Linked DNA regions of Stegostoma tigrinum. The main gene of each other region encodes a partner of the protein of the gene in region 3 in a complex. Links are inferred from orthologs where the notes say so. Each region holds a gene or a part of one and is shown on either strand. Other genes may lie near its edges.

Region 1 (7,188 bases), on a different chromosome or scaffold from region 3:
CGTATCAGGCACTGATTCTTTTTTTCAGACAAGATACTGGATTTTGACAGGTAGTTAAAATATTGCTGAAGACTTTGACTGTAGCATATACCTTTTCTACATGCAAGGCCAACTTGACACCGTTGTGTAGCCACGACAAGGCTACAATGGGGTCCCCGTCCACTGAACTCCCAACTGTGCTATCCCAGCTGTTTACCAGATGATCAGTCATACTCCAGCATTTCACCCGACCATCAGCATCAGCAGATAATAACCGAGAACCTTCAAAGGAGACAGAGTGAAGCAAAATAATATACATTTTAAATAGGCAACTCAATTCAAAAACATACATTTTAGTAACAATTATGATACCATTCAGTTCCTGAGCTAATTTTTCTTTCCAACTACATTAAATTTGAAGCCAGAAGATAATTCAGTCAACAATGTAGCAGCTATCCACATAAAGAAATGTGTATGTCATCTATTCATTATGAAGCATTGACCAGGGTGACCATGCCTCTGCGAAATATCGAGAAAGAGTTTTTCTCTGCATTTTGTGGTAAAATCAACAGTACGCTCTGCATTTTGTGGCTTCCATACATACAGCGTAAAGCAGAAACATTATCTCAACTTTCTACCTAACACATCTTTAAATGAGAGTACAGGCAATAGGGAAAAACATTGAACAGGTCAGATCTTAAGCCCTAAACTTTCTGTACCATCAGGCACCACCAATTAGAAAGAATAACTGATCTTCATCAGATTATAATTTGTTATGCATAGTTATTTATTTATCAAATTTGTGGTGCTCCTACATATCTAGACTTGCCTGTTCATTTCACAATTGAATCTTGTGGTGCTGGGACAGATTGCAGGTTCATTAAAAAAGGCTTACCAGATTGATCCCACTCCAGAGAAGTAATCACTTCATGATGACCTGAGTTAATCGAGTAAACATCCCAAGGATGTTCAGTATCCAAAATGTGAATCATATAAGTAAGATCTATAAAAAAGATACTGTTAGGAAACTCTGTACAGTCTCATTGCTAAAATATTCTCAATTAAGCCATGAATAAGCAAAATACCAAAAAATTCTGGAAACACAGAGCAAGTTGATTGGGTCTACATACTGAAAAAAAAAATACCAGGTTTAGGAACAAATGTAAAGAGAAAGAAAGCTCAATTTCAGGTGGACCGGTCAGCATTCAGTAAGAATGCAAAAGTTGGTACCTCCCACAAGACAGTAAAGCTTGGGGCTTGAACTCATTGTTGCAAAGTATTTATCAAGACCCCAGTATGTTGGAAATTCCTTTCCTTTTAACAAGTGCACTGCACTGAAATAGTTCAAGTTGGCAACACACGTCTAGTTCAAAATTTTGGTTATCATCTTTTGCAATTGTTTAAATCCTGTCAGAGGCAGAACATAGGGAAATTGTTTACAAGCCATTGGGTCAACTATCTTGTCGCATCAATATTCAACTGTTACGGCAAATGCTTTTAACTTACTCCAGTCCTCTGTTTTGACTTCTATTTAGAAGTTACAGTTTCCTAACAGCATCTTGGATATTTGTCATATTTGGTACAACTCCAGTATATTTGAAAGCTTTTCATTTATTTCTAGTTACACTTAAAAAAAAAAATTGGGTTGGAGTTTAAATCAGGAAATGTTATTTTAGTAAATAATCTAAAGCCAATCTCTCTTCCTCTTACTGCTGACAGAAACAAATTTAATTCTCACAATCTGCTGCTTTTGTAGCCACAGTAATTCTTTGAACCTATCCATTTTGATATTTACCAACAGACAGAACAAAATATCTTAATCCTCAGAGGTATGGGCTTTGCATTAAAACAAACTTGTTCAATAATGTCAAGTCAAAAGCATGCAGTGCAAGAAAAATAAATAAATATTACATTTATATAGGACTTTTCATAATGTCAGGATATCTTAAAACACATCTTGAAATAAAGCCACTATTGTAATTTGGGAAATGCAGAAGGCCAAGTTGTGTGGAGCAAAATCTCACAAACAATAATGCAAATGAAAACACTAGTCTGTTTTCAGACATTGATTGGAGAGATAAACAACAATTACTACACCAGAAATAAGCACCATACCCTGCCCTAAATTGTGCCTTGGCATCTTTAACATACATTTCAGAGGACCCCAACAATTCAAAGGTGGTACCTTCTCTCATGGCACATTATTCCCTGTTAAAGTGACTGATGTTTCAGCATGTATTTGTGCTCTACTCTTTGAAGTGAGGCTTGAAGGCACAAGTACCCCTGACCAAGCTGCAAAAATTGATAACTGCAGTATGATAGATTCTGATTAGGTGGCAAGGCTTTCTTTCCCTACATTGATAACCGAAACATAAGTTGATCACCTTAAATTACTGTTGAGATCTTATTCTCTGCAACTGGACTGACATTTCTGTTCACCTAACAACAGTCACACGCTGTTTACCAAGCTGCTTTCAAGTTTGCAAAAACTAGGTCAAAACGTTAGCGAATACTGGAGATACTTAAGAATTTTAACTCAAAATGAACTTTATTACATCTGAACAAATACAGTGAAAAGATGAGGCAGACCAGACCCAAAACCTGACCTTGTTCTTGCTCTTCCTCGTTCTTCAGATCCGTTGTGAAGGCAACCAGGTTTCTGCAGGACCAAGCACACACCAACTGTACAGACGGACAATAATTGCTCTTCGGCCGCTTCTCCCACTCACATACATACGCTATATCCATGTTTACTGTTTCCTCAACGTCCAGAGCGCAAAGGCGCCCAACCAGCAGCACACAGCGCGCAGGCGCGCCTCATCCTGTCCCACTCAGCGCAAGCGCGCCTCATCCTGTCCCACTCAGCGCAAGCGCGCCCATCACTGGATCGGCCTATTGACACGGCGCATGCGTTACTTAGGCGAGAGATAATGGGAACTGTAGATGCTGGAGATTCCAAGATAATAAAATGTGATAATAAAATGTGAGGCTGGATGAACACAGCATGCCAAGCAGCATCTCAGGAGCACAAAAGCTGACGTTTCGGGCCTAGACCCTTCATCAGAGAGGGGGATGGGGGGTGGGAACTGGAATAAATAGGGAGAGAGGGGGAGGCGGACCGAAGATGGAGAGTAAAGAAGATAGGTGGAGAGAGTATAGGTGGGGAGGTAGGGAGGGGATAGGTCAGTCCAGGGAAGACGGACAGGTCAAGGAGGTGGGATGAGGTTAGTAGGTAGCTGGGGGTGCGGCTTGGGGTGGGAGGAAGGGATGGGTGAGAGGAAGAACCGGTTAGGGAGGCAGAGACAGGTTGGACTGGTTTTGGGATGCAGTGGGTGGGGGGGAAGAGCTGGGCTGGTTGTGTGGTGCAGTGGGGGGAGGGGATGAACTGGGCTGGTTTAGGGATGCAGTGGGGGAAGGGGAGATTTTGAAACTGGTGAAGTCCACATTGATACCATTGGGCTGCAGGGTTCCCAGGCGGAATATGAGTTGCTGTTCCTGCAACCGTTACTTAGGCGATGCGGCTCTTTGAGATTTCACTTTGAATTGAGAACGTTTTGTCAATTAACGGATTTCTGTAGTTTTTAAATTATTGATAAATGGTAGAAAGTACAAACATGTTTACATGTTTTCCCTAGGCGATTAGTTTAAGAATCTCTGTTTGTGCAAACCTTCAGATTTTGTTTTTGTTTTGATTTTAAAAGAATGTTAGAATCAAAGGTGCAGTCCCTCATTGACCCATTCCAATTATTGAAGTGTTTATACATTTACTGGTACCTTAGTTAAATTACTGGGAGAATACAACAAATCACTCCATTATCTGAAAGTGAAATGAGAATATAAGATAACAAGGCGTGGAGCTGGATGAACACAGCAGGCCAAGCAGCATCTTAGGAGCAGGAAAGCTGACATTTTGGGCCTAGACCCTTCATCAGAAGGTCTGAAACGTCAGCTTTCCTGCTCCTAAGATGCTGCTTGGCCTGCTGTGTTCATCCAGCTACACTCCTTGTTATCTCGGATTCTCCAGCATCTGCAGTTCCTATTATCTCTGAGAATTTAAGCATATATCTTTTTGTTTCTATTTTACCATGCTGCGGTTTTTCTACATTTTATTTTACATTTTCAGCATTTCTACCCCCTTTCCAGATGCATTTTCCTTATTCTAACAACAGCTTCTCTATTGGGGCACATTAATAAAATATATAAATTTATATAGGCCAAATAGTTATTTGTTACGTGTGTATCACTTTTTAAACACAGGACTTGATACGTTTAAATGACTTTGTAACCTGGGGATCATTCTTGAAGAGAATGAATGTCACCTAAATAGTTTCTAAATCGTAATTGCTGTGGTGCAAACAGAGGCCATTCAGTCCATTGTCTGCAAAAGCCTCTCTGATCATTTCAACTTGGTGCCAAACTCTGCCTTTTCTCTGTAACCCTGCATATTATTTCTCTTTAAATAAATCTTGACATTTCCCATCAAATGTTTCATTTCAATTTACCTCTACCAGGCATTTTTAGGCAAAACGTTATGAATCAGAAACAAAAATAGAGATTGCTGAAAAAGCTCAGCAGGTCTGGCAGCATCTTAGAAGATCAACCATAGATAAAATTTCAAATTTGTTGACCCTTCCTCAGAATTGATGGTAGCTAGGAAAATGTTGGTTTATATGCAGAAGATAGCAGAGGGTAAGGAGTAAATGATAGGTGGGATAAAGCGCAAAGAGAAAGAAGAACAATTGGACAGATGAAGGGCTGGATAATGATCTGGTTAGGAGGATGGATAGCAGTTAATGGGGACCAACAATAGGTAATGGTGAAATGAAAGGGGACTAACAATAGTTAAAATATGTAATGGCAGGTTATATGATAATAAGGCCTGTTGTGTGGGGTTGGGGTCTAATCCATAGGAGAATTCAGGCCCTAAAATTATTGAACTGTATTGAGTCGGGAGGGGTGCGATGCACCCAAGTGGAAAATAAGGTATTTTTCCTCCAGCTTGTGCTGAGCTTCACTCAAACACTACAGCAAGCCTGAGACAAAGATGTTGACAGGGAACAGGGTGTTAAAGTGACAGGCAACTGGAAGCTTAGGGTCTTTTTTGCAGGCAGAACTTAGATGTTCTGCACAGATGTCACCCAGTCTACGCTTTGTTTCTGCAATGTAGAGGAGCCCACATTGTGCGCAACGAATGCAGTGGACTAGATTGTGTGAAGTGCAGGTAAAGTGCTGCTTCATCTGGAAGGTATGTTTGGGCCCTTGGTTGTTGAGGAGGGAGAAGGTAAATGGACAGGTGTTACACCTTTGGCAGTTACAGGTGCCATGGTGTTCTATGGGTTGCTGGGTGTTGTGACCAGGGAGTCACAGAGGGAACAGTCGCTGCGGAAGTCGGACAAGGGAGGGATGGGGAATATATGTCAGGTGGTGGCATCTCGCTGGAAGTGGCGGAAATGGCAGCTGATGATCTTCTGAATGTGGATGCTGGTGGGATGGTAGGTTAGGACAAGGGGAACACTATCGTTTTCTGGATGGAGGAGAAGGGGTGAGGGTGGAAATGCAGGAGATGGATCGGACCTGGTTGAGGTCCCTGTCAAAAACTGGAGAATCCTCAGTTGAGGAAGAAGATGGGCATTTTAGTGGCTGTCTTGTTGAAGCTGGCCTCACCAGAATATATGCAAAGGAGACAGAGGAACTGGGAGAATGGAATCTTTACAGGAAGCAGACTGCGAGGGTGTATAATCCAGGTAGCTGTGGGAATCAGTGGGTTTATAGTAGATATTAGTGGCCAATCTATCCCCAGATATGGAAACAGAGATGTTGAGGAAGGGAAGGGACAAGCCAGAGATAAACCAGAGATAAATGAAAATGAGGGCAGGGAGGAAATTGGAATCGATATCAATTAACTTTTCCAATTCCAAAGAAGAGAGGGAAGCAGCACTGATGGCATTTTCAATATATCAGAGAAAGAGGTGTGGGTGGGGTCCATAATAGGATTGGAACAAGGAATGTTCCATGTACCCCTGAAGAGACAGGCATACCTGGGGCCTAGACAGGTACACATGGCCATCCCTCTGACCTGAAAAAAATGAGAGGAGTTAAAAGAGAAGTTGTTCAGGCTGAGGATGAGCTCGGTCAAATGGAGGAGAGTGGTGCTGGGTGGGGACAGTTCAGGAAGAAGTGGACTGCCCTGAGACCATCCTAGCGGGGTTTGTATGTGTAAAGGGATTACACATCCATGATAAAGTGGAAGTGGCTGGAACCTGCAAATTGGAAATTCCGAAATTGGTGTTAAGCGTCAATGGAATTGCGGATATATGTGGGCAGGGACTGGACCGGGGAGAATAGACTGAATCAAGATAGGAAAAGATGAGTTCTTAGTTTTTGAGAAGATTTGTAGTTGTGTTGTGGATGAGGTTGTACACGTGCTGGGCAACCTTTTTCTTGTCCACATTTGCTCCTTTTACAAAACATTTTACAACTGTGCCTTCTGCATCTTGATCCTCTGACAAGTGAGAACAGTTTCTCCCTATCTATACTGTCCAGTGTCATGAGTTCGAAGGCTTCAGTCAAGTTTCCCCTCCACTTCCTCCATGGCAAGATAAATAGCCCCAGCTTCAGTAATCAGTCCTCATAACTGATGTTTCTCATTCCTGGAATCTTTCTCATAAACCTCATCTGCCCTTTCTACAATACATTCGCATTCCTTCCTATAAAGTCTGGTGCCCAGACTGTTTACAGTGCCCAGCTGAGGTCTAACCAGTGTTTTATATATGTTAATCATAGCCTCCTTGGTCTTGTACTCTCTGAACCTATTAATTAAGCCAAGAATGCTGTATGCTTTATCATTCGGCTGCTCCAGCTGTCTTGCCACCTTTAACATCCTATGTATGTATGCACTGAGTTTTGTCTGTTCCTGCGCACCCTTTAGAATATACCCCTTATTTCATATTGTCTCTCCTTTTCGTTGTACCAAGGTGTATCACCTTGCACTGCTCCACATTGAACTTCATCTGCCACCTATCTACCCAATCCACAACTTGTCACTGTCCTTTTGAAGTTCTGTATGATCATCTTGGCTCTGTTCAAATGTAACCCATCTGTCCTGTAAAGGTACCATCTCCCCCACAGCCAGTTCCAGAAATCTAAAACCTTCCCTCCTGCATCACCTTTTCAGCCACACATTCATCTTTCTTAGCTTTTTATTTCTGT
Region 2 (7,411 bases), on a different chromosome or scaffold from region 3:
GAATTTTAATTATTAAAGGAATCAGAGGTTGTGGGGAAATGGCAGGGAAGTGGAGTTGAGGGTTATCAGATTTGACATGATGTCATTGAATGACAGAGCAGACTCATTGGGCTGTGTAGCCTACATCTGCTCCTTTTTCTCATTCATTCATGGAATATGGCCACCACTGACTATAGCCAGCATTTATTGGCCATCCCTAATTGCCAGAGGGCAGTTAAGAGTCATCCACATTGCTGTGAAATGCTGCTTCACCTAGAAAGACTGCTTAGGCCTTTGGATGGTGAGCAGGGAGGAAGTGAAGGGTGAGGTGTTGCACCTTCTGCAGTTACAAGGAAGGCGCTGTGAGAACATTGGAGGCACTAGGGGGGAGATCTCCTGAGGTAATGAGATCAGTGACAGTCCTAGCAATGATGGGTTGATGTTCGTATGTGGGGTCATGGTCCAGGGGCAGGTGGGAGGAAGTGTCAGAGAGATGGCATTGAGCCTCTGCAAGATAAAGGTCAGCGCTCCAGACGACAATAGCAACACCTTTGTCAACTGGTTTGGAAACAAAGTTAGGGTTGGACCCTGAGAGAGCAAAGTGCAGCATTTTCAGAAGGGGGCAGGACATTGATGGGGATCTGGAGTCATATGTAGGCCAGACCATTTAAGGATGGCAGATTTCCTTCCATAAAGGACGTTAGTGAGCTAGATAGGGTTTTCCCTGACAATGGTTTCATGGTCATTAGAATCTTAATACAGATTTTTTAAAATACTGAAATCGAATTCCACCATCTGCCATTGTGATGTCCTTTCCCCCACGACATTTCCTGGGTATCCAGATTAATAGTCTAGTGATAATACCAATAGGCTATCATCTCCCAGTCATGTGGTCTTACGGTTTTGACCCTTCTGCCAATAGAAATAGTTTCATGCTATCTGGGATAACAAGATGTAGAGCTGGATGAACACAGCAGGCCAAGCAGCATCTTAGGAGCAGGAAAGCTGACATTTCAGTCTGACATTTTGTGATTTTTAACACCTCATTCAAATTTCATTTAACATTCTCTGTACTGAGAAGAACTGCTCCAATCTCCACACTTCACCAATGTATCAATGTAACTGATAAATGTCCCTTGTATTCAAGCTTGAGATTCACAGCCTCAGCTTCCTAATGTCGATGTTTGGTCTTCTCAGGAAGAGGGAGACATGGGTCTACCAGGCTTGTAATTCTCTGACAGGGTGGCGAAAAGCTAAAGGCTTCAGATCTTTGGTGCTGAAGCACAAACACACACATTACAACACTGGCTCTATTCTTCAGACCTACTTCAATGTCCACCAAGAAGTTTGAAATAGACTGAGGACATAACTGAGGGGAAGAGCACTGACACATGGCCCAACACTGCCACCCAGCACAGCCAAGGGATTGCATAGTGACATCGCCCTCCACTGGGACCAACGGCATTAACTTTTAACATTATTTCGTAATCACTGATTTATACTGACCTGAGCTGTAATGTTGAACTTTTAACTTATTTCTTCATTCTTTTCCTCTTTATCTAAGATTTCGTACTTAGGTTCCTTGTGTCTTAGATGGCGCCATTGAAAACTTTTCACTGTACTTCTACATCCCTGTACATGTGACAATAAAAATCTAATTCTAATTCTAATTCTAAAATGCTGGCTGTTTCCAAATAGCAGACAGTGAATATTATTCAAACTTATGATTTTTGTATTTGATATAGAACAACAAAAGATGGATGTAAAAGATGTGGACATACATAATCATAAATAATATCTAGTGTCTAACTACTATATATTTAAAATGTGCTTTCCACATGCATCTTCTGTCTTATAAATTCTAACTTAACACACGTATTGTTATCAAATTGTAATTCGCCCATTGCCAGTGAAGGCACTGCTGTGCTAAGTTTTCACATCAAGAAAGATCTGCGTTTATATAATAAGGCGTGGAGCTGGAGGGATACAGCAGGCCAGGCAGCATCAGAGGAGTAGGAAAGCTGACGTTTCAGGGTTGGGACCCCCTTCAGAATTTTTTTTTCCGAAGAAGCATCCTGATCCAAAAAAAAAATCAGCTTCCCTGCTCCTCTGATGCTGCCTGGCCCACTGTGTCCCTCCAGCTCTACACCTTGTTATCTCAGACTCCAGCATCGGCAGTTCTTACAATCGCTGCATTTATATAATGCTTCTTTACAGAATATCTCAAAGCTTTGACAACCAACGAAGTGTAGTCTAGGGAGCATGTCAATATTTAGAGAAAGCACAAGTGAAGTGTGTCAGAGTTTACAAGGGTTCCCTGGGGTGGGACAGTGTATTTGTACTTGGGGGAGGCGATCGCCTCGTGGTATTATAGCTGGACTGTTAATCCAGAGACTCAGATAATAATCTGGAGACCCAGGTTCAAGTCCTGCCACAGCAGATGGTGGAAATTGAATAAATATTTGGAATTAAGAGTCTAATGATGACCACAAATCTATTGTCAAAGGTTGGAGGAAAAACCCATCTGGTTCACTAATGTTAATAAAAATTCCAAAGAGTTGCAGATGTTATAAATCAGGAACAAAAATAAAGTTGCTGGAAAAACTCAGCAGGTCTGGCAGCATCTGTGGAGGAGAAAACAGAGTCAACATTTCAGGTCTGGTGACCCTTCCTCAGAACTAGGCACGAATAGAGATTGGAACTGAAATCCCATCGGAGAAAGTAGAGCCTCTTCAAGGTGGGCATGCCTGGAAGAGATGTGGCAGTGAGTTAAACACTAAATAAAAACCAAAAGAACTGCAAATGCTGTAAATCAGGAGCTAAAGCAAAGTTACTTCCTCAGTTCTGAGGGAGGCTCACCTCCCTGAGGTTAACTCTGTTTTCTCCTCCACAGATGCTGCCAGACCTGCTGAGCTTTTCCAGCAACTTTGTTTTTGGTTCACTAATGTTCTTCAGGGAAGAAAGCTGATCTGGCCTACATGTGACTCCAGTCCGACAGAAATGTGGCTGACCCTGGGTAATAAATGCTGCCCAGTCACTGGTGGGAACAGTCAGCTAATTACCAATGTGTGCATGAGGGAGTGTTAATTCCCCCCAGTCTCATTTCCTGTTAATGAAACAAGGATTGAGACATGCGCATGCGCGATTCTGCAACAGTTCCCCGAGTAAGGGCTAATGGGAACTGCAGATGCTGGAGAATTCCAAGATAATAAAATGTGAGGCTGGATGAACACAGCAGGCCAAGCAGCATCTCACGAGCACAAAAGCTAACGTTTCAGGCCTGGACCCTTCATCAGAGAGGGGGATGGGGAGAGGGAACTGGAATAAATAGGGAGAGAGAGGGAGGCGGGCCGAAGACGGAGAGTAAAGAAGATAGGTGGAGAGGAGAGTATAGGTGGGGAGGTAGGGAGGGGATTGGTCAGTCCAGGGAAGACGGACAGGTCAAGGAGGTGGGATGAGGTTAGTAGGTAGATGGGGGTGCGGCTTGGGGTGGGAGGAAGAACCGGTTAGGGAGGCAGAGACAGGTTGGACTGGTATTGGGATGCAGTGGGTGGTGGGGGAAGAGCTGGGCTGGTTGTGTGGTGCAGTGGGGGGTGGGGACGAACTGGGCTGGTTTAGGGATGCAGTGGGGGAAGGGGAGATTTTGAAACTGGTGAAGTCCACATTGATACCATATGGCTGCAGGGTTCCCAGGCGGAATATGAGTTGCTGTTCCTGCAACCTTCGAGTGGCATCATTGTGGCAGTGCAGGAGGCCCATGATGGACATGTCATCTAGAGAATGGGAGGGGGAGTGGAAATGGTTTGCGACTGGGAGGTGCAGTAGTTGGTTGCGAACTGAGCGGAGGTGTTCTGCAAAGCGGTCTCCAAGCCTCCGCTTGGTTTCCCCAATGTAGAGGAAGCCACACCGGGTACAATGGATACAGTATACCACATTGGCAGATGTGCAGGTGAACCTCTGCTTAATGTGGAATCATATTCCGCCTGGGAACCCTGCAGCCTAATGGTATCAATGTGGACTTCACCAGTTTCAAAATCTCCCCTTCCCCTACTGCATCCCTAAACCAGCCCAGTTCGTCCCCTCCCCCCACTGCACCACACAACCAGCCCAGCTCTTCCCCTCCCCCCACTGCATCCCTAAACCAGTCCAACCTGTCTCTGCCTCCCTAACCGGTTCTTCCTCTCACCCATCCCTTCCTCCCACCCCAAGCCGCACCCCCATCTACCTACTAACCTCATCCCACCTCCTTGACCTGTCCGTCTTCCCTGGACTGACCTATCCCCTCCCTACCTCCCCACCTATATTCTCCTCTCCACCTATCTTCTTTACTCTCCATCTTCGGTCCGCCTCCCCCTCTCTCCCTATTTATTCCAGTTCCCTCACCCCATCCCTCTCTCTGATGAAGGGTCAAGGCCCGAAACATCAGCTTTTGTGCTCCTGAGATGCTGCTTGTCCTGCTGTGTTCATCCAGCCTCACATTTCATTATCCCCGAGTAAGGGCGCTGACTCGCTACGTCACTGTGAGTGGCAGCCTATCTACCCAATGGGACGCTGTACCGTGCCGCGATTTGCGGCTGCTTTAACCAATGGGAGCTGGCCTAGCCTGGCCTGGCCACGGCGTTCGGCGGTGGCGGTGAGTACGCGAGGTCGGGGATGTGGCCTGTGCCTCTCCGAGCCCGGCTCTGCGCCGGCGGCTGAGATCTTCCCCACGGTTTTGTACCGCAACATTGGGAACTCCGCAGGCGGTTAGTCCTAGATCATTGGAGAGAGATTCGGCCTCCGCACCTCCCTTTCTAGTTATCCCTGTACCCCCCCGTTGTGTGGGGGTGGGGAGAGAATGTTTCCCGTTCCCCCCTTCCCCCGGTCAGGTGGGGAGTGGGTTACCTAATCACCATGTCTGTGGAGGGTAGGGGCGTGTTATTCCCTCCACTGTATGAATGGGAATGGGGTGGGGTTTAATCCCCCCCCCGCGTCTGTGTGGGGTTTAATTCTCTCCCCCCCCCCCCGTCTGTGTGGGGTTTAATTCTCTCTTCCCCCCCCCCCCCCCGTCTGTGTGGGGTTTAATTCTCTCTCTCCCCCCCCCCCCCCCCGTCTGTGTGGGGTTTAATTCTCTCCCCCCCCCCCCCGTCTGTGTGGGGTTTAATTCTCTCCCCCCCCCCCCCCCCCCCCGTCTGTGTGGGGTTTAATTCTCTCCCCCCCCCCCCCCCCCGTCTGTGTGGGGTTTAATTCTCTCCCCCCCCCCCCCCGTCTGTGTGGGGTTTAATTCTCTCTTCCCCCCCCCGTCTGTGTGGGTTTTAATCCCCCCCCCCCGTCTGTAGTTTAATTCCCCCCCCCCTTGGTCTAGGAGGGGGTTAACCCCCGCTGTCTGGGGGAAAAGTGTTAATACCTCCTGTCTGTGAAAAGGGGTTAATATCTGCTGTCTGTCTGGGGGTTAATCCCCTCCCATCTGGGATGTGGAGGTTAATCCACGCCCCCTTCCCCGGTCTGGGAAGCGGAGTGTACTAGCTATAAGGAGAGGTTGGACAAACTTTGATTGATTTCGTTGGAGCATCAAAAGCTGCAGGCTGACCTGAAATAAAATTATTACAGACACAGATGGGGGTAGTCAGTCTTTTCCCCAGGGTGGAAATGTCAAATACGAGGGGGCATAGGATTAAAATGAGATGGGGAAAGTTAAGGAGATGTGAGAACAGTTTTTACACGTAGGGTGGTAGGTGTCTGGAACACATTGCCAGGGGCGGTGGTAGAAGCAAATATACTAGAAACATTAAAGAGGCAGTTAGACAGACACATGAACAGGCAGGGATTAGAGAGATATGGACCATGTGTGGGCAGATGAGATTAGTTTAGAATTAGAATCCTTACGGTGTAGAAACAGGCCCTTTGGCCCAACAAGTCTACACCACTTCTTGGTGCATCCCAACCAGACCCATGCCCCTTTTACCCACCTAATCTACAGAGCCTTGAATTTTACATGCAATTTAGCTTAGCCAATCCACCTAACCTGCACATCTTTGGACTGTGGGAGGAAACCAGATTACCCGGAGGAGAGTGTGCAGACTCCACACAGACAGTTGTCCAAGGGTGGAATTGAACCTGGGTCCCTGGCACGGTGAGGTAGCAGTGCTAACCATGGAGCCACCATGTAGCCCTAGAATGCTGGTCAGCACAGACATGGTGGGCCAAAGGGACTGTTCTCGTGCTGCTCTATATGTTTTATATAAAGGCTTGGATCACAGAATGGATTTTTATGACAATCTGACAGCTTCATGGTCATATACTGACAGCTGTAATTTATTGCCAATTCATTTTAAATAATTCTTGAGCTGCTTGGTGAGACTTAAACTTTGTATTGTATGCATTATTCTGAGGCTGCTGTGATTTCTACACAGACTCGATGTGATTAAGTTCTGAGGTGGCCTAGTCAGTATCTGCTTGAAACCAATACACAGAATAATAAGCCATTCAGGCGTGCAAGAGGGAAGCAAAACACAAGGGAATTAGTTTATGATCTGGAAATGACGAATGCAGGGTTATGTGGAGAAGGCACAAGATGAATTGCTTATTTGGAGAGCCAGCCAAACAGTGGACTGAAAGACCTCCTCTGCATTGTATTATATCTCTGAACACAAACTGTTCACAGTGCCTGAACTAACCCAGGTGCTTCATAGGAACGTCTGTCAGACAGATTTTGACATTGAGCCAGATGAGGACATAACAGTAAATGAATTTTAATGAATATCTTAAAGGAGGTAACAGAGCTTTTGAGATTTAGGAGAGGGATATTGGTGATCAGGGCCTTGTCAGCCAGAGGCCCAGTTGCCAGTGACAGTTGGAGATAAACAAGAGGCTGAGATTGAAGGGGTTCAGTGGTCTTTTAGGGCTGGTGAAGCTATGTAAATAGGCAGGGCTGATGCCTTGGAGTTTAAAAACAAGGATGAGAATTTTAAAATTAACACAAAACCAGAGGATAGGCTTTGAGTGGCAACTTTGCTGGATTGAAGACTAAAACCAAGGTTTTGAGGTTGTTCCTTTTTTTTTCCCCTTTTGCAGATCCAGTTACATTGAGTGCAATGGGTGAGCCACAGCAGGTGAGTGCGTTGCCTCTGCCTCCAGCACAGTACTATAAGGAGTACACAGACGACAATGTCCGCAAAGGCTTTGCTCCTAAGCCACCACCTCCCATCAGGGACAGCTACACTATGTTTGGCAACCAGTTCCAGTGCGACGACTTGATCATCCGTCCATTGGAGGGCCAGGGCATCGAGAGGCTCCACCCTTCACAGTTCGACCACAAGAAAGAGCTCAAGAAACTCAACATGTCAATCCTGGTGAACTTCTTGGACTTACTGGACATCCTGATCAAAAGCCCCGGGAGCATAAAACGAGAGGAGAAACTGGAGGACCTCAAACTCCTGTTTGTTCACATGCA
Region 3 (7,129 bases):
CCTGAAGTGCCGAGTGGATGATCCATCTCAGCCTCCTCCAGTGGTCCCCAGCATTACACATTCCATGCTTTCAGTTAATTCAATTCACACCATGTCATATCAGGAAACAGTTGGAGGCACCGGATTCTGCAAAGGCTATAGCCCTGAAAACATTCAGCAATAGTACTGTACACCTGAGCTCCTAAACTTGCAGCTCCCCTTGCCAACTCTTCCAGTACAGTTACAACGCTGGCATTTATCCGATAACATGGAAAATTCCCCAGGTATATCCTGTGCCTAAAAAGCAGGACAACTCAAACCTGGCAAATTATCACCCCCATCAGTCTGCTGTCAATCATCAAGAAAGTGATGGAAGGTGACGTCAGTGTTATCAAGCAGCACCTGCTCAGCAGTAAACCAGCTGATCCCCAGTTTGGGTTCCACCAGGGTCAATCAGCTCTTGACTTCATTACAGCCTTGGTTTAAACATGGACAAAACAGGTGAATTCCAGGGCTGAGGTGAGAGTGACAACTCTTGACATCAAAGCAGTATTCGACTGAGTGTGGCAAGAAGGAGCACTAGCAAAACTGGAATCAAGGGGTATCAGGGCAAACTCTCTGCTGGTTGGAGTCATACCTGACACATAGGAAGATGATTGTGATTGTTGGAGATCCCAGAACAACTCTGCAGGATTCCCTCAGGGTACTGTTCGAGGCCCAATCATCTTCAACTAGTTCATCAATGACCTTCCCTCTATCATAAGGTCAGAAGTGGGGATGTTCACTGACAACTGAAATGTTCAACATCATTTATGGCTCCTGAGATAATGATGCAGTCCATGTTCAAATGCAACAAGATCTGGACTTTATTCAGTTATGGGCTGACAAGTGGCAAATGGCTAGTATCATTCATGCCATACAATGCCAGGTTATGGCCATCACCAAAAATAAACAGTCTAACCAAGGCTCCTTGACATTCAGTGTTAACGCCACTAAATCCCCCACTGACACCATCCTTGGTGTTACCATTGACCAGAAATCAAGAATGTGATGGAATACTCTCCAACTTGCCTAGATAGGTGCGATTCCAATGACACTTAAGAAGATCAACATCATTCAGGACAAAGCAGTCCACTTGATTGGCATCACATTCACAAGCATCCACTCCCAAAACCAACAATGCTCAGTAGCAGATATATGTTTGATCTACAAAATGCACAGCATAAATTGACCAAAGACGGTCGGGTTGAAAGGCTGAGCAGGCTTGTTGGGCGAATGGCCTAATTCTGTTTCTTTTCCCACGGTCTTAAAACAACTTCCAAACATACCACTTCTACCTAGAAGGTTGAGGATTGCCAATACATGTGAACACTACAACCTGCAACTGCCCCTCCACGCCACTCACCACTCTGACTTGGAAATATATCACCATTCCTCCACTGTCGCTGGGTCAAAATTCTGGAATTCCCTCCCTAATGGCATTGCGGGTCAACCCGAAGTAGGTACAAGCTCACCAGCACATTCTCAAGGGCAACTAGGAATGGGCAATAAATTCTCTCGCTCTCTTTCTGGTGGGTCTCACTCTCTCCCCACTCCATCCCCCTACTGGTGCCTCACTCTTACTAATGTTAGCTCTGTCTCTCTCCTCTAACCCTAACAATTTCTCTCTTGCTCTCTTTAACCCAAAGTAGATTTCTCCCTCTTCCTGTTATCTCTCTGTCTAAACCTAACCCAATTTCTCTTTTGACAACATACGTTTCAGAATTTTAATAACTGTACATGGACTGGAAAAATTAACTGAGCTAAATCGGTACACATGGATTGAAAGAAACGGCAATAACTCGAGATAAACTGTTTCTAGAGATGAAAGGAAAACTGTTTCTAGAGATGAAAGGAAGAATGAGAAACTGTTAGAAAAAGGGATTACAGCGACATGTGAATTAACCACCCTGGGAGAAAAGAGCTACAGGAACAACATAAACAAGCTGTTTCCTGGGAGACAAGAGATAACATTATTTGACAATCTGCTGCCTCATCACATTTGGGCAATTTAGACCTGCCTGCAGAAGTAATGTTTTGAAGAGGGGGAAAAAAGCCATGTTTCAAAGAGATCTTAACGCAACGGGGAACAATGGAGCTAATTTTTTGATATGAAGGCAAGCAGCAGACTTGAAATCTCCAGAAGTGTAATCAATACTGGGGATGAGCAAACCTAAAGGATATCAATAATGTCATACTGCGATCTTGACAGACAGAAAGTTGTATAAGAACCCAACACCAGAACGACTCAACAGCAGAACTAAGAAGAACAACACTAGAGAAGGACCGAACCCTGGAAACCTCCAGAGATACAACACTGTTGGTTGGAAATCTGGCCAAATTTCACCATTAATTGGGTACTGAGTAAATTTAGTCACAGGCTTATACTTGCTCAATAGTTTAAAGTATTGTTTCAGTACTTGATTGTCTGTGAGATTTCCTAATAAGTTGCTGAATTAACGGTAGCTTGTGGTGATTTACTCATAACAGGCACTCCTTCACTCACTCCTTCCTTCCTTCCTTCTCTCCCTCCCTCTCCCTGGTGTATCTCTCTCTCTCTCTCCACCCTATCCCCATCTCTCTAACCCAATATCACTCACCACCACCTCCTCGAAGATGCTTTGGAGCTGTGTCTCCATGGAAACCGCCATCTCGCGGCCCCCTGCCACCGCCGCCGCCTCCCCTTCGATCCACGGAAGCCTTGAGCAGTTTCCGCTTCCGGGATGAGCCGTTCCGTCTCCTCTCATCCTCCGCCGTGCTCCGATGGCCTCCGCACTTTCTCAAAACAGCTTCGTTTCAAAGTTTCCTTTCCCCGTTTGCAAGTGCGAATTCGAATCGAAAAATAAAAGCAGTATTCCAAACGATTCACTTACACATTCAGATTTCAACTACATACGCTGTAAACTGGCGGAGACTTTTACATTCAGCCGGTGCCTCGTTGAAAGCAGCGACAGTGAGTGAGGCCCCGGCTTTCCTGTTTGCTTGAAGACTGAACGCCCAAGGCCACTGCCCCCGTGCGGCACCTGGAGGAAACAGCAAAGCCCTGTGTCAAATTGTGAATTCCACCTCAGACACCACCCAGAACTTTACAAATTCATTCCCGTGCCCAAATTACCCTCAAATTTCCCCCAAAAACCTCATTTCGAATCGATCCAAAAATAGATTGGGTGCGAATCTATGTCGGAACCCAGGAAAGCACTTAAACCGCAGGCTATATTCCTTCTTTATGCATGGAAATTGAAGTTTCGACTCATTTCAGCATTGTTCTTGCAAGGGAATTTTTTAAAAAAATTTCATTGGAAGTGCGCCTCACTGGACAGGCCCACTTTTATTAACCATTCCTAATTGCCTTGCAGGACGTGGTAGTGAGCTGCCTTTTTGAACTGTTGCATTCCACCTGAAGTAGGGATGCTCACAATACTGAGGTAACAAGGTGCAGAGCTGGATGAACACAGCAGGCCAAGCAGCATCAGAGGAGCAGGAAGGCTGACGCTTCGGGCCGAGACCCAAAACATCAGCCTTCCTGCTCCTCTGATGCTGCTTGGCCTGCTGTGTTCATCCAGCTCTACACCTTGTTATGTAAGATTCTCCAGCATCTGCAGCTCCGACTATCTCACGCTCACAATGCTGTTTGGAACAGAGTTCTAAGATTTTAACCCATCAATAATCGACAAACAGCCTTATATTTTAAGTCAGAATGGGGGGAAATTTGCATGTGATAGCCTTCTCATTTTCCGTTTTAGTAGTGCTGGGTTTGGGAGATGCTGTCAAAGGAGCCTAGGTGAAGTGCATTTTGTAAATGGTACACACGGCTTCTACTGAGCTTAGGCGGCAAATAAAAATGTTGCTTAAAGTATCAGATTACCTGTGCCTTGTCGATACTGGACACGTTTTGGGGAGTTAGGTTTACTTGCCTCAAAATTTCCAGCCTCTGACCTGCATTGGCAACCATACTATATGGCTGGTCTAGCTCTGTTTTTGGTCAATAGTAACTTCCAGGATGTATATAGTCAGAGATTCAGGAATGGAATTGCCGTTAAATATCATGGGAATGGTTAAATCTCTCTAATGGGAGATGTTCACTGCATGGCACTTGCATGATGTGACTTTTATTTGCCAATTCATAGCTCAAGCCTAAATATTCTCCAGATCTTGCTGAATATGAATTAAGACTACTTCAGTAGCGGAGGAGTTGTAAATGACCCTGACTTTGCACAATCATTAGTGAAAATCCCTATTTCTAACTTTATGATAGATTGAAGATAATTGATGAATATCGTTATGAATATGAATATCGGACACTTAACTGTGGAGCTCTTGCACCGGTGCCCTGTGACTGCAATAATTGGCCTCTAACAAGCATAGCCACCTTCTTTTCTGTTTAATATTCTCCTCTGGTGAGTTTTTCATGTGATTGCCATTGACTTCAATCTTACCATACTTAGTCAATATGTTGCCTTGATATCAACAGCAGTCACTGTCACCTCAATCATGGAATTCAACACTTTTATCCATGTTTCAATCAAATCTATAATGAGGTCAGCAGCCAAGTAGCCCTGGTGGAGGCCAAATTGAGCATTGGTGAGCAGACATGGAAAAGGCAGCAAATGAATGTGCAATAGATTGGAGTTGTGATCTGTGCATTTTACTTTTAACCCCTCTGCACAGACCCTTTTCTAATTGAGGTGGTGGGTGAGGTAAAGATTAAGTGTCGAGTATCAAGACAAAATGAAGGAAGTGAATTACAGTAGGATGACAGAGAATACAGGGTGATAGAAGGTGGGGCAGAGCACATTGAGCTAATACAAAAAGTGACAGGAGCAGGGATGAACTTACACAATCGTGTTGACTCCCTTAGGAAACCATACAGAAACACTATATATGCAATGTTCAGTCTGTTGTGATGTTGATTTTCTGTAAAATCTTATCACAAATGTTGCTGTAAACTCAAATTATGATTATTGACTATTGTTATTTACCACTATTATGGTTTAACTGCCTCCACAGAAAACTTTTATGCACCATTTGAAGTTAGATTAAGAAAGTTCATTATTCGTGGTAAAACCTTATTATATTTTACTTTATCAGTAAGCCATGCAGATTAATATGCATGGATTCAGTTTACTTAAAAATCCTGTAGAAGTTGATGCAAGACTACGACTTGTCACAGATATGTATCTGAATTCTCCGCTAGCATGCTTCTAATGGACTTCACGTGGCAATTGGTCTGCAAGTTACTCTCTGATATTTGGTTCATGAGCATATCCAGCTCAATTCAGTTCATAAAAAAACACAACTTGTTATCAAGTAAGAGTTAAATACAACAAATTACAAGTTACAATTACACCACAAGTGAAAATGCATATATATCAGAACAAAAAAAATCAAAGAACTGCAGATGATGAAAATATAAAACTGAAATTACAGGAAAGACTCAGCAGGTCAGGCAACATCCATGGAGACAAAGCAGGCATAATGTTTCAGATCCAGTGACCCTTTGTAGAACTGATTGTAACCAGGAAAAGGCCTCAATTTCTCTACCCCTCCCCCTTACCCAGTCAAACTATCTCCCTCTGAACTGACTGCAGACCGTGCTGTCAATCCAACCCTGACTTTGCAATGAAACAATCCAACCTGCTGACAAGAGTGGTGCTGTTGTCTGATATGCTGACCTCTACATTGTGGAGGCTGAGCACCAGCTATCAGACACCTCCTTCCATCTCCCCCATATCATAAGACCACCATGAAACACCAGGCCATTGTGGCCACAATGGTCACTAATCTAATTTCATCTGGAGATCTCCCCCCAATCCAATTCCAACTCCGCACAGCTTGCTTCTACCTCCTTCCCAAAATCCACAAACAAGACTGTCTGAGCAGACCCACTGTTTCTGCCCCACAGAATTCATCTCTTTCTACCTCAACTTGATTTCTTTCTCCCCTTGTCGAGTCTTTTCCCACTTAGATCTGTGAATCTTCTGAAGCTTTACATCAGTTTCAGAATTTCTAGTTTGCGGGCGTCAGCCGCCTCCATTATGGATGTGCAAGTCCTTTACATGTCCATCACTCAGGCTGAGCTCAGGGCTTCTTCTTAGAAAAAAGGCCTGAACTGTTCCCATCTATCACCATCCTCGTCCTCTGCCTGGCCAAGCTTGTCCTCATTTTGAATAATTTCTCCTTTAACTCCTCTCACTTTATTCAGGCCAAAGGTGTGGCTGTGGGTACCTGAATGGGCCCCAGTTATGCCTGTCTCTGTGGAATGTGTGGAACATTAGTTGTTCCAGTCTGACTCCAGCCCTACTGAAACTCTTTCTCTGGTACTTCAATAACACCATCAGTATTGCTTTCCTTTCTGTCATCTGGAATTGGAAAATTTCTACCTCACCCTCGCCTTCACCTGTTCCATCTCTGACTCCTCCCTTCACTTCCGTGATATCTCTGTTTCTATTTCTGAGGAATGGCTGACCACCAGTATCCAGTACAAACCTGCCAACTTCTATAGTCACCTGACTATATATCCTCACACCCTGCTTCCAGTAATGACTCCATTCCATTCTCCTGGTTTCCCTGTCTCTGTTGCAAGTGTTCCGATAATGCCAACAAGGGGTCCAGCAAAATAGCCACCTTTTTCCTCAACTGAGAATTCCCCATCACCGTGTGGATAATGCCCTTAGTCATGTCTGACCCATCTCCTACAATTTGACTCCTTGTCCTCACTTACCACTCCACCAGCATCCACATCTAATGGATCATTAGCTGTCATTTCAGCCAGCTCCAGTGAGATTCCATCAGTAGATGCATATTACCCTCCCCTCCCTTGTCCTGTGTTCCACAGCAACCATTCCGTCTGGACACCTTGGTCCACTCCCAACACCATCATGGCATCTTCCCATGCAATCTCAGAAGGTGTAACACCTACCCATTTACTTACTCCTTCCTCAGCGTCCAAGATCCCAGACACACCTTCCAGGTAAGTGCTTTACTTGCACTTCACTCAGTCTAGTACAATGTACTTTCTGCTTACAATGCAGTCTCCTCTAGTTTGGGGAGACAATATATTTTGTCTGTAAAAAATGACCCTGAGTTCCCATTGCCTGACACTTCAACATAC

The links. The genes of interacting proteins can lie anywhere in the genome.
Region 1: med23 (region 3) and med16 share a complex: the UniProt entries of both Homo sapiens proteins name them as parts of the mediator complex. The link is inferred for Stegostoma tigrinum from reciprocal best matches to the Homo sapiens genes MED23 and MED16.
Region 2: med23 (region 3) and med7 share a complex: the UniProt entries of both Homo sapiens proteins name them as parts of the mediator complex. The link is inferred for Stegostoma tigrinum from reciprocal best matches to the Homo sapiens genes MED23 and MED7.

What each region holds. Positions count from the first base shown.
Region 1 is NC_081383.1:28,124,211-28,131,398, forward strand, and holds the start of med16 (mediator of RNA polymerase II transcription subunit 16), read right to left. Parts: upstream 3,021-7,188; 5' UTR 2,728-3,020; coding exon 2,586-2,727; intron 983-2,585; coding exon 875-982; intron 262-874; coding exon 92-261; intron 1-91. UniProt on the Homo sapiens protein: Component of the Mediator complex, a coactivator involved in the regulated transcription of nearly all RNA polymerase II-dependent genes.
Region 2 is NC_081366.1:12,401,066-12,408,476, forward strand, and holds the start of med7 (mediator of RNA polymerase II transcription subunit 7), read left to right. Parts: upstream 1-4,391; 5' UTR 4,392-4,522; coding exon 4,523-4,724; intron 4,725-7,032; coding exon 7,033-7,411. UniProt on the Homo sapiens protein: Component of the Mediator complex, a coactivator involved in the regulated transcription of nearly all RNA polymerase II-dependent genes.
Region 3 is NC_081357.1:71,147,732-71,154,860, forward strand, and holds the start of med23 (mediator of RNA polymerase II transcription subunit 23), read right to left. Parts: upstream 3,008-7,129; 5' UTR 2,766-3,007; coding exon 2,619-2,765; intron 1-2,618. UniProt on the Homo sapiens protein: Required for transcriptional activation subsequent to the assembly of the pre-initiation complex. Component of the Mediator complex, a coactivator involved in the regulated transcription of nearly all RNA polymerase II-dependent genes.